Linked DNA regions of Canis lupus familiaris. The protein of the gene in region 3 purifies or fractionates together with the protein of the main gene of each other region. This does not show direct contact. Links are inferred from orthologs where the notes say so. Each region holds a gene or a part of one and is shown on either strand. Other genes may lie near its edges.

Region 1 (4,236 bases), on a different chromosome or scaffold from region 3:
AACCATCAATAAAATTCAACACCCACTTACGGTTTTTAAAAATGTCATCAGAAATTAAAGACAACAACAAAATCATCTTGGAAAGCCGAAAAGAGAAGAAAATATTTTAACTTAACATTTCCCGTTTAACAGAAAGTTTCAGCAAACATCGTTAATGGATGCTAAAACATCAGAAGCAGTCCCTCAAAGTCAGAAACAACACCACATTTTTAGCCACCACTGCTATTCTTCAAAATTATACCGCAAGTGTACGCTAGCCAAAGCAATGAGGAAAATACGTTATAAAAAAAATGAAAAGAAAGCCAGAAAGGTGTGAACACTTCTAGGTAATCACCAACTCAAAAGTGATTAGATTCATGATAAACAAAAAAAAAAAAATCCGTAAGTTTTCCTATAACCAGAAAGAGAGAGAAAATGTTCCTGCAAGTTTCTATCCACCAGAGCAAATCACATCACACTCTAGCCAGGATTACTAGGAAGGAATGCCATAGTATGGGGGGCGGGGACACAACTACTATAAAACCCAAACTAAGGATATAAAGCCAGATGTGAATAAAAGGGAAAGACACACCATACACGCACATATTCTGGGGGAGAGGCTCAGTATTACAAAGGTCAGTTTGCCCCAAATCCATCTAAAATTTCAATGTCACATTCAAAAAAAGAAAATAAAAAACTAAGGATTTTTAAAAATTTGTAAGTTGCATCTAAAGTTCATCTGGGGAAGAAATGCATAAGAAACAGTCAAGAATAATTCTGGAAAGAGGGAAAAACGGTCATCAAAATTTAAAACATGCATACCATTTAACGCAGGAACTCCATTTGGAGGGAATCTATGCTCCAGAAGTGATCACACACAGAGGACGTTTCCCTAACAGGTGACTTTTAGAATAAAGGCAGGACCAGAAGGGGAAGTGGGTGCTGCACTATTTACCTTACGTTCATTCCTCCAACTGTTGGAATTTTTTTAAAAAATTTTAAGGTTTAAAGTGTGCAACTAAAAACTAATCAATGCATTAAAAAGTTGTCTTCAAATAAAGCAGTATTTGACAGCGAAAAGAAACTAATCGAATGTCTTTCAATAGGTCAAATAATCCCAGCTCCTCCAAACCAATGAAATACCGCTTACCCTTAACAAAGTTATCAGAGAGAGCCCTAAAGAACAAACCAAGGTGGGCCAGACACGTGGGCAGGTGAGAGGAAGGAGGGACGCAGCGAGGTGTTTGGTATTCCTCCCGCCTCGCCCCTGAACCCCGACTTTATATGTATGTGTTTAAAAATGCGTTTCTAAAAATGCCCAGTAAATGGCTAACTTCAGAGACTGGAGTAGGACAGGAGGATGACAAGTGTCCAAGTCTTGCTCCATAGGCCTTTTCCTTATATTGTCCAATTTTACATCGAGCTTGCGTGTCTGGGGCCAATATTCAGGACTTAGAGTCATCTCCTATAAAAATGGGATGGATGCTATGAGACAAAAAACAAAACACAAAAAAACCTACAAATCGTTAACACGCTTCTTTCTGTTATTTTCATATTTATTGACATGCTCTTGGAATGATCTGGAGTCCTCGGCAGAGGGGACTGCCATTTTAAGGAAATTTGACCAAATAGGTCATGATAAAAAAAAAAAAAAAAAAAGCAAATACAGAAAGCCTTAAAAAAAACAAACCTACATAAACATAAAGTTCACAGAGGCAGCAGACTCAAAGCAGGGCCCGTGCATACGGGAAGCAAAAAAAAAAAAAAAAAAAAAAAAATTTAATGCCTGGCGAGGGAAGTCTCCTCAACAGATTATTCTTCCTTTTTGCAAAAAAAAAAAAAAAAAAAGAGTATTTTACGTCCTCCCTTTTTTCTTCAACTTGGTCCTCGGGCGGCTTTAAACTCGGCATTTCGAAGGTGCGCAAAATGATTTAGCAAGCAGCCATCCGCGGGAGGCCGGCCTCCAGGCGGCGGGCGGCGGGCGGGGGAGCGCGGCCTGACACTGCGAGCGGCGGGGGCACCGGGGGGCACGGGGGGGCACGGGGGGCACCGGGGGGGGAGCTGGGGAGAAGCTGGGGGGCGGGGGGGCACCGACGGGAGCTGGGGGAGCATGGGGGGGCACGGGGGGGAGCGGGGGAAGCACTGGGGGAGCTAGGGGGAGCACCCAGGGGAGCACTGAAGGGAGCACCAAGGGGAGATGGAGGGAGCTGGGGAGCACGGAGGAGCACCGGGGGAGCACCGGCGGGAGCACGGGGGGAGGAGCTGGGGGAGCACGGGGGGGGCTCGGGGGGGCACGGAGGGAGCACCGGCGGGAGCACGGGGGGAGCTCGGGGGGACGGGCCGCGCGGGGGTCGGCGCGGCCGAGGGCCCCGGGAGGCGGGCCGGCCCGGCGGGGAGCGGCCGCAACGGCAGGCGGGGCGGGGGCGGCGGGGGCTCCGCGGGCCGCCGGGCAGCACTCGGCGGCGGCGGGGGCCGGGGCGGGGGCCGGGGCCGGGCCCGTGGCGCCGCCAACCCCACCCACCATGGCCGGCGGCGGACGCAGGCCCCGCGCCTCCCGCGCCTCCCCCGCCCCCCCGCGCCCCCGCCGCGCCGCCGCCGCCGCCCTCGCCCCGACCCCCGCGCTCCCCGCACCACTACAGCTCGGCCTGAGGAAAGAAAAGGAAATACGGCTCACCCTACAGTGCAGCGGCCCCGCAGCGACGGCAGCGCCCGAGCCTCAGCGCCACCACCGCCTTCTTCTCCGCCTCCGACTCCTCCCCCGCGGAACGCGCAGCGGCGGCAGCGGCGGCGGCGGCGGCGGCGGCGGCGGCGGCGGAAGCAGAGGCGGCGGCGGCCGCGCGTCCCGCCCCCAGCGCCGCGGCGGAGGCGGAGGAGGCGGGCACGCAAGCCCCGCCCCCGGGCGGTGCCGGCCAATCGGCGCCCAGGGCCTCTGCAGGAAAAGTCCACGCGCCCAATGGGGACCCGGGGAGTGGGCTCACGTCACCGGTTGGGACGTGGCAGAGAAAGGGGAAGGGACTCGGCCCGAGCCGGCGCCGCAGACCGCCCCGGGCCAGGAGGGCGCCGCCGATTGGCCGGCGGGCGGGAGGCTGCGGCTGCGCTCCCCGGCCCGGCCGAGGCCCCTGCGGCACTGCGACGCGCGGGGTGGGGCGGGGCGGGGCGGCGCGGGGCGGGGCGGGCTCGGCGCGCGGCCTTTTGTGGTTCGGGCCGCGAGACAGGGCGGGGCCTCCGCGATGGGGCGGGAGCGCCCGGGCTGCAGGGACCCCGACGCCGCCCCGGCCGCGCGCTCCCGCTCAGCGCTAAGCCGCGGAGGCCTGGGCGCCCGGGTGACCGGCTCGGGCTGGAGGCCAGCGCGCTGCCGCTCGGAGCCGGGCGGGGCGACAGCGAGCGCGGGCACGGCCGCCCCCCGCCCCCCCTCCCCGCGCGCTCCGCGGGCCCCGCCCCCACCCCCCCCCACCCCACCCCAGCCCCCCCTGCGGGGACGCTCGGCCGCCGCGCATCCGCACCAGGTGGGGGGGCGGGGGCGGGGCACTCGGCCTCCCAACCCCTCCCGGCCCCCCCCTCCCCCCCCCCCTCCTCCCCTCCCTCTGCCCCGCCCCCTCCCCGCGGGGACGCTCCGGCCGCCGCGCATCCCTCCAGGTTGGGGGAGGCGGAGACGGGGCACTCGGCCTCCCGCTCCCTCCCCATCCCCTCCCCATCCCCTCCCCATCCCCTCCCCTCCCTCCTCGGCCTCGCCTCTCCCCTCCCCCTCCCCGCGGGGACGCTGCGGCCCCCTGCGCCCCCCGCCCAGGTGGGGACGGGGCACTCGGCCTCCTGCCAGCCCCCCTCCGCCCCCAGCCCGGTCCTGACCCCCCTCCCACTTTGCACCGGGAGGCTCGGGGGCTGTGCAGCCCAGAAGGACCAGCTCCCATCACCTGCCCGACGGTAAATACAACAGCTGTAGTCCCGGGGCCTTCTGCTTAACTTAAACACGGGTAACAGTTGACTGAATCATGCCGTGATGCTCAGTGGTTTCTTCGGCCCGCACACCTCCTTTTTTTTTTTTAATTTTGTTTTTCCCCCCCCTCTCCTGAACGTGTCTGCTTCTCCGGTTACGGTCCTGCTCTCCTCCCACCTTAGTCCCCAACCCAGCCCCCTCCGCCCCACCACGTACCCGCCCGGGGCTCGGGTATATTGATCGCATCCCTCTCCCCAAGAACGAAGAGCCCCACTTCTTTTTTTTTTTTTTTATAGAAAGACTATTTATTTATTTATTTTTTG
Region 2 (4,193 bases), on a different chromosome or scaffold from region 3:
CAAGCAGGGCTATCTTCAAACACCAGGAGCCATTCACAGATGCTCTGTGTAATAAAGCCCTGGTTCACACAGAATCATCCACCCACCGTATGTATAATGGGAATGGCGACACCTGGACTTGTGCCACAGAGGCCCAGTTCTGTCCAGAGAAATTATTAAGCAATAGGCTTTTGTAAAAAGGAAGGAGATTCAGAGAATTTTTTGAGCTGGAAATCAGTCACTTTCAGGATTATCAAGCCCAAGCCCTTCATTCTGCTGATCAGGATATGGTGCTCCTTTTTAAAGCAGATTTACAGTCCAGACAAAGTAAATGCACGGAGTTATCTTCTGTATTTCAAGCCATTTTTTAAAAAGTCAGTAGGGAATATTGCTTAGAAATTTCATATCATAACTATGAAATAAAATATAAAAGCAACCTTTGAAAAACAGAGTTGGTCTGGTTTATCTAATACAAAGCAGAACACCCAGCCCCCTCCAAAAGCTTTCCCAAATCTTTCCTATGTGTTTATGGTGAATTTATCAGCTTCACCACCTGCCCCCCCCCCCCCCCCCCCCCCCACACACACACAGTGGGATTTAGAAGCCTAGGGCTGGCTATTTACAACACAGCATTTAAAATAACAAGGCACCTTATTGTAAAAACATTCCCCTCCCACCAAAGGAAAGTCCCTCCCATCAACCCTGTGATTTGCTAAGGAGAGAAATATGTACAGTTCCAATTTACACTTAGGTCAAAACTATTTCCAACAAGATGGAGGGAATCCTTTCCAGTTCTAAAATTCCATGATTCTAGTAATTCACCTTAGTACTTTTGCATGATGTCTTCTGCTCAGATACCATTTTAAATTACTTGACATTTTGAGATTTATTAAATGTTTAGCAATTTTAATATCAAAGGAATACTGGTGTACTCATTAAACAGTGTACTATATATCTGGATAATGAGACCAAATTTTATGAGACGCTGAATAACATATAGTGTCTTGTTAATTATAATTTAAAACAGACTTTCTTAAACAGTCTCTGCATTCTTCTCCTGGAAGATTGTTCTGTTACTACCTTATTACGACAGCTGCTAAAGAAAAAAAAGTAAAAGATACAAGGCGGCTTAGTCTCTTGATTTAGCACTCGGAAATCGTGATCCACCATGGAAGGGATTTACGCTGAGAGTCAACGATATGGAACAAGACCTACTAAGTACAAATTTCCTAATAATAAGCCACGAATTGCTTTTCTCCGTTATTAAAGGAAGGCCCCTCATCTACTAATTTAAAGTTTAAACAGGACACCTGTACAAAGACAACACACGTTTTGTGACTTTACATTCAAATTTTAGTCCATTTAAGTTTCTTAGTAAAACGTTAACATATTTGCCGAATACTTTGGGGAGAGAGCTGTTTGGCCACCGAATTTTTATCGGCCGAATGGACAGTCTCTGGCTTGAGTACCGTTGCGCGATTTTTCAAAGGCTACATTACTATTATTTTTAGAGCACCGTCACTTATATCCTACATAGCTGTGAAAATGTCAAAGTGCTCGTTTAGGATTTGTCTTTATCAATCTACAAATAAAGAAAGTATACTTCCACGGTTATGACTGCAAGAAAACAAAATACTTGTCCCTGGAAGGGGTCAGCACGTGCTGCCTGCAGCGCCGGACACGGGCCGCGGCCTCCCGGGAGCTTCGCCGGCCCGCAGGGGTCTGTCCACCTTTCCCCGCCTCCGGGGCACCGGGGGCTCGCGTCCAGCGGACGGCAGGCTCGCTCCGGGCTGGCGCCGCCGCCCAACCCCGCCAGCGGGACTTCACCCCGAGAGACGCCCGTCCTCGAGTTCCGAGGGCAGGATGCGGAGCAGTGACGGGCAGTCCGGGGTCCGGCGGGGACCCGAGCGCACGTGAGGTTGCATCAGAAAAGAGGAGCTCCGCAAAGTCGGTGAACTGGGGCGCACGGGGAGCGTGTTACGCAACGGCCGCCGCTCTCCCGGCCGCGACCCGCGAGGACCGGGGACGCGAACCTGCAGGGGTCGACGCGGGTGGGCAACGCTGCGGCTCTGCGGGCGGCGCCGTCGGGGCGGGGGGCGCGGCGGGCGGCGGACGGCGGCGCGGCCCGGCCCGGCCCGGGGGGACCACCGCACGGGGTGCGAGGGGACGACCGCACAGCACAGCCCGCGGGCGGGCCGACGGCGCGGCCTCCGGGGACGGCGGCGCAGCGGGCGCGGACCCCGGTGCTCCGGGGCCGCCAGCAGGCAGGCGCCCGGCCCCGGTCGCGGGGAGCAGCCCGGGCCGTCGCAGCGGTGCCCCCGGCGCGGACGGCCTCTCGGGCCGCCCCAGCCCCGCCGGGAGCCCGGCGCACAACAAAGCGGCGCAGCGCCGGCGGCCGGGCGCTGCCTCCCCACGGCCCCCGCTCGGCCGACTCCGGACGGCCCGCGACGACGCGCCGCCAGCGGAGGCGGCTCCGGGCCCGGGCCGGGCGGGGGCCGTGGGGGCAGGGCGAGGGCGAGGGCTCCGCTCGGGACGAACTTCCTCGGCCGCCCTGCCGAGCCCGGCGCCCCTCCCGCAGCCTCGGCCCGAGGGTGGGCGCCCCGGAGCCCCGGGGCCCCGCCGGCCCGCGGAAACTTCCAGCCGCCCCGCCCTGGCCCCGGGCCCCACGCCCCCCGCCCCTGCCCCCTCACCTCCTGGGGCGCGGTCTACACCCTCCGGGGCGTCCCGGTCCGCGGCTCCGGGGCCTCGCGCGCCGGGGGACCGGGCGCCAGTGGCTGGAGCGGCTGCTGGCCCCGCGGGCACGGGGGAGCCCCGGGCGGCGGCGGCGCGGGCGGCGGCGGCTCCATCTTCCCGGGGCGCTCACGCCGAGGTTCCAGCGCGCAGACCCAAGTGGGACATTCGCTACATTGTTGGCATTCCACGGGCGTCACGTGACCCCGCCTCCCGCGTCACCGGCGGCCGCATACCAGCCCGGGCGGGGCGCCCGCGGCCCTGCTGCTCGGCGGCCGCCCCGCCCGCCCGCCCTGCCCCGCGCCGCTTCCTGCCTCCGGGTCCCCGCCGCCCGCCCGCCCGCCCGCCCGCCGCCACCTGCCCCGGCCGCCCCGCTCCAGGGTCGCCCCTCCAGCCGCACTACTCGGAAACTTGGTAACCCCGTCCTCGAGGCATCTCACACCAGCCTCGGCTGAGAGAGTGAGTTAACAGGCCTAGAGGAGCCACCGAAGTGCCCAAGTCTGTGTCAGCTGTTACAAGTAAGGGCAGAAGAGGACAACTTCACCCGTGCGAGCAAGTAATAAAGGACGTTCAGATATATATATCCCGATTTAGTCCGTTTTCATTTAATCAAACCCCAGAGCAATGGATATTTTATGAGAAATGTTTCCTGATGTGCAGAACGAGATAGTAACGTAGACCAACGAGTGAAACTCTGAGTCGTGCATGTCCATCTGTGGGCTGTGCATGTGGTGCAAGGGCATGTGCAGGGATGGTGCGGAGATGTGAGTACAAATAATAGCTTGCAAACGAACCCCTAACCCACTACTGGACTCTCCTGGCATCATACTTCCTACCACCTGCAGTCTGCGGCAGGTGATGGTGAGGGCTAATATTGTTTTAAAAGGCAGTCCAATTTCCTTTCCTAATACACTCTTGTGAAGTTTTTTAAACTTTTTTTGTTTTGTTTTGTTTTTTAAACTTTAATCTGAAAAGAAACCGTCATGAAGGTCATTAGCTCTGGCCGTTTTAACAACCTTAGTTAGCAATCCTTGGTGGGCCATCCTATACACTTTACTCTCTAATTCCCACCCAGGCTTTCAGCCCTGCCTCTGTCTTAGCTCTGCAAGGAAATCTTCCTAGATCCCCCAACTGTTTTCTCTCCTCTTTGGGCTCTGGTAATTAAGCCGATTATTGCGGCTTAATTACCAGAAATTGAAAATTTCATTTTTCAATCTTATCCTGTGCTCTACCCAGGCATCTTGAATGGCATAAAACCCCAGTGGATATTCTGTAATCGAGTCTCTTTTGCATTCACCTGTGTACCTATTCACTCATGCACTGACCTTTCTTTCTCCTTCCCAGCCCCTGGCTGGCTGGGCTGGCTGCCATTCTTCTTCCTGTGTGTTTATTTTTTTTTTTTTAATTTTTATTTATTTATTTATGATAGTCACACAGGGAGAGAGAGAGAGAGAGAGAGAGGCAGAGACATAGGCAGAGGGAGA
Region 3 (3,500 bases):
CTAATCAGTAATTGATATAAATTAAATAATAAAGCCTTTATATATATTTTTTATCTATTTACTTGTGTACAAGCAGTTCAATTTTATGAGTTCCTGAATACTTCCCTATTTATAAGCTTTTACTTCTTATTAAATACTTTGGTATGTGGTACTTAGTATTTAATTGCATTATAGTAAGTAATGAACGTTCAGGTTTTTTCCTTGTGCTTATTTAGTGTTAATTATTTCCAAGTTGTGCTGCTTTAATTATCTGGCTTAAAGATGCTAGACTGAAAAAATTTTGACTATAAGGGGCACCTGGGTGGCTCAATTGGTTAAGTGGCTGACTCTTGATTTTGGCTAAGGTCATGAACTCAGGGTCATGGGATTGAGCCCCACATCTGCTTGAGGATTCCTCTCCCTCTACCCCCCACCCCCGCCCCACTCATGCATGCACTTGAGCCTTCTCTCTCTCTCTCTCTCTCTCAAATAAATAAGAAATTTGATTATAATAAATCTTAAGAAATATTAAGAAACATGGAACACTTTATCACCCATAATGTTAATGTGTGTTATCACACACATCAAGGTGTGATGGGATTAATGTTTTAGTGTTTCTTCTTTCCAGTCTCTTTTTCTGATAATAAAGGACTAATTTTATATGGGGATACATGGTATTAAGACATTTACCCCTTGGGAAAAAATTGTCTTCCCTGAATATGCTGCAGGTATAAAGGAAAGAAAAGGTCTCCAATGAGTTTCTAGTTCTATTTCTAATTACAGTATTTTGAAGGGATGTTTTTATTTTGTGTTGTTATTCCTGAACCTTCCTTAGAAGAAATTTAAATAAAGTAAATAAGACAAACTTATTAATGGCTTAAATGCTTCACACAGTGAAGTTTTGCAGAAGTCTTATTATGCATTCTAGCTCAGCAAAGGAAAGGTGAAAAAGATGCGTGCCTAAGGGTATTTCTTTAGTACCCTCTCCAGGAAACAATCTTATAATCTTGACTGTATTGTTGATACCTTGATGGCCAGCTGTTGTAGGATATGAGGCATATCCCATCAGTCTCTCACCAGCCCTTAGCACCCTCTGCCAGGAATGTGTGTTCCTTTATTATTCCCAGGGCTGTGTTAAAACATCCATTTTGGCACTGTCAGCTGCCACATTATCCTCCCTTTCTCTTCTAATTATACCTATCCTCTTTCAGGATAATTCTGTAGGGGAAAAAAAAAATAGGGCAGCCCCAGTGGCCCAGGGGTTTAGCAACAGCCTTTGGCCCAAGGTGTGATCCTGGAGATCCAGGATCGAGTCTTGCGTTGGGCTCCCTGCATGGAGCCTGCTTCTCCCTCAGCCTCTCTCTCTTTCTCTCTCTCTCTCTGTCATGAATGAATAAATAAATAAATCTTTAAAAAAAAAATTCTATAGGGAAATCTGAGTGATCTTCAGTAGAACTTGAGGTAATTTACTAAAGTTACATGTAACTTCTATTGACAAAATGTAGACCTACTTTGATTGCAAGTTGTACATTTGTTACTGTTTTTGAAAACTATCAGTAAAATCTTTTTCTCTCCAGATACGAATATCACTGGGCAGATGGTACTAATATTAAAAAGCCAATCAAATGTTCTGCACCAAAATACATTGACTATTTGATGACTTGGGTTCAGGATCAGCTTGATGATGAAACTCTTTTTCCTTCTAAGATTGGTGAGTTAATGTTGAATTGTTTTCCTTTTTAACTGATAAATATGTTGCATTCTTTTTAATACTATTACTTTAAAAAAAAATTGTAATGAATACTGCCAAATTCCTCTCCAGAAAGATTGTAACCAGTATCTGCCCATGTTTCCTCACTAATATTGCGGTTGGCTACTCATTTTTTTTTTTTTTAATTTTATTTATTTATGATAGTCACAGAGAGAGAGAGAGAGAGGCAGAGACACAGGCAGAGGGAGAAGCAGGCTCCATGCACCGGGAGCCTGATGTGGGATTCGATCCCGGGTCTCCAGGATCGCGCCCTGGGCCAAAGGCAGGCGCCAAACCACTGCGCCACCCAGGGATCCCGGCTACTCATTTTTTACTCATTTTTTTCTGTTCCTATCCTTTGGTAAGATTAGCTCTGACATAAATGTCATATGTGCTTTTTCCTTGATTGCCATATGTCTTATTTTGTTCATGAGGTATTCTTGCTTGTATATAACTTTCTTATTTTGTTCTACTAATTTTTCCTTTACATTGTGTGGATTTTAATACAATGATTAGAAAGATTTTCCCTACTTCAAGATTATAAAAATATTTGTCCTTATTTTCATTTAGTACTTTTGTGGTTTTATTTTTACATTTAAATCTTTATTCTTGGGCAGCCCGGGTGGCTCAGCAGTTTAGCTATATGTTAATCCTTCAAGTCTTCAAGTTTCTTAAGTTTGTTCCTAGACTTTTTGTGTATAATATATATATATGTGTGTGTGTGTGTATATATATATATATATAATATCAATAAAAATGATATCTGGCTTCCAAATGGGTTATTGTTTAGTATGTAGAAAAGCTATTGATTTTTTATATAAAATTTCCAAATAAATTGGCCATCAGATTCTTATTGTTTCAGTTGTTTTGGGTTGGTTTTCTTGAGTTTTTAAGTATTCAATCACATCATATTAAGCTAATATTAAATTTGCCTCTTCCTTTCTGATCGGGATGCTTCTTGTGTAACTTGTACCTACTTGCCCCAGAGTAGTGCTGAGTAATGGAGATGATGTGGCAGGACGTCCTTTTTCTTGTTTCCTTACTTTTATGCAGGTGCTTCTAGTACTTCAGCGTTAAGCAGGAATCTTACTTTTGGTTAGACGTATGTGAATCTTTAAAAAATCAGGTGTGGTTGTTGAGTTTTATGATACTTTCCCAGTGTCTGTTGTTGGTTACCATAAAGTTTTTTCTGTGTTGTTTGTTTTTCAATGTTTTACTGGAAGAGTATTTTTTATTTGCTGATATTTTGATTAAGATTTTGTCATCGGTATTTATGGATGAGTTCAATCTTTTCATTTTCATTTTGAGTGTGTCTTACAAATGACATGTTGGATTGTCTTTTCTGTTCGTGCTGCTATAATAACAAAACTACCAGAGATTGGATGGTTCGTGAAGAGAAACTTCTCAGTTGTGAAGGCTGGAAGTCCAAGATCAAGGTGCCAGCATAGTCAGGTCTTGTGAAAACCAACTTTTGGGTTGCAGACTGCTGATTTCTTGCTTCGTCCTCACTTGGTAGAAGGAGCCCGCACAAGTTCTCTGGGGCCTCTTTTATAAGGGCATTAATCCCACTCATGAGGGCTCTGCTCTTGTGACTGAATCACCTCTGAGCCCCACCTCCTAATAGCATCACCTAGGTGGTTAGGCTTTCAACATGGGAATTTTGAGGGGATGCACATATTCAGACCATAGCAGATTCCTTTTTGTGGCCTAATCAGTGGCTCTCTTGGGAGAAAAACTTGTATCATGTTACACCAGGTCTCTTTGCTTTTCG

The links. Proteins that work in one complex are often made in the same cells at the same time.
Region 1: the proteins of MOB1A (region 3) and PJA2 purify together in Homo sapiens (affinity purification with western blotting; 3 studies listed by BioGRID). This does not show direct contact. The link is inferred for Canis lupus familiaris from reciprocal best matches to the Homo sapiens genes MOB1A and PJA2.
Region 2: the proteins of MOB1A (region 3) and LATS2 purify together in Homo sapiens (affinity purification with western blotting; 9 studies listed by BioGRID and IntAct, with this or other methods). This does not show direct contact. The link is inferred for Canis lupus familiaris from reciprocal best matches to the Homo sapiens genes MOB1A and LATS2.

Annotation. Positions count from the first base shown.
Region 1 is NC_049224.1:2,731,699-2,735,934, reverse strand, and holds the start of PJA2 (E3 ubiquitin-protein ligase Praja-2), read right to left. Parts: upstream 2,801-4,236; 5' UTR 2,654-2,800; intron 1-2,653.
Region 2 is NC_049246.1:17,175,460-17,179,652, reverse strand, and holds the start of LATS2 (serine/threonine-protein kinase LATS2), read right to left. Parts: upstream 2,801-4,193; 5' UTR 2,670-2,800; intron 1-2,669. UniProt on the Homo sapiens protein: Negative regulator of YAP1 in the Hippo signaling pathway that plays a pivotal role in organ size control and tumor suppression by restricting proliferation and promoting apoptosis.
Region 3 is NC_049238.1:49,426,339-49,429,838, forward strand, and holds part of MOB1A (MOB kinase activator 1A), read left to right. Parts: intron 1-1,556; coding exon 1,557-1,690; intron 1,691-3,500. UniProt on the Homo sapiens protein: Activator of LATS1/2 in the Hippo signaling pathway which plays a pivotal role in organ size control and tumor suppression by restricting proliferation and promoting apoptosis.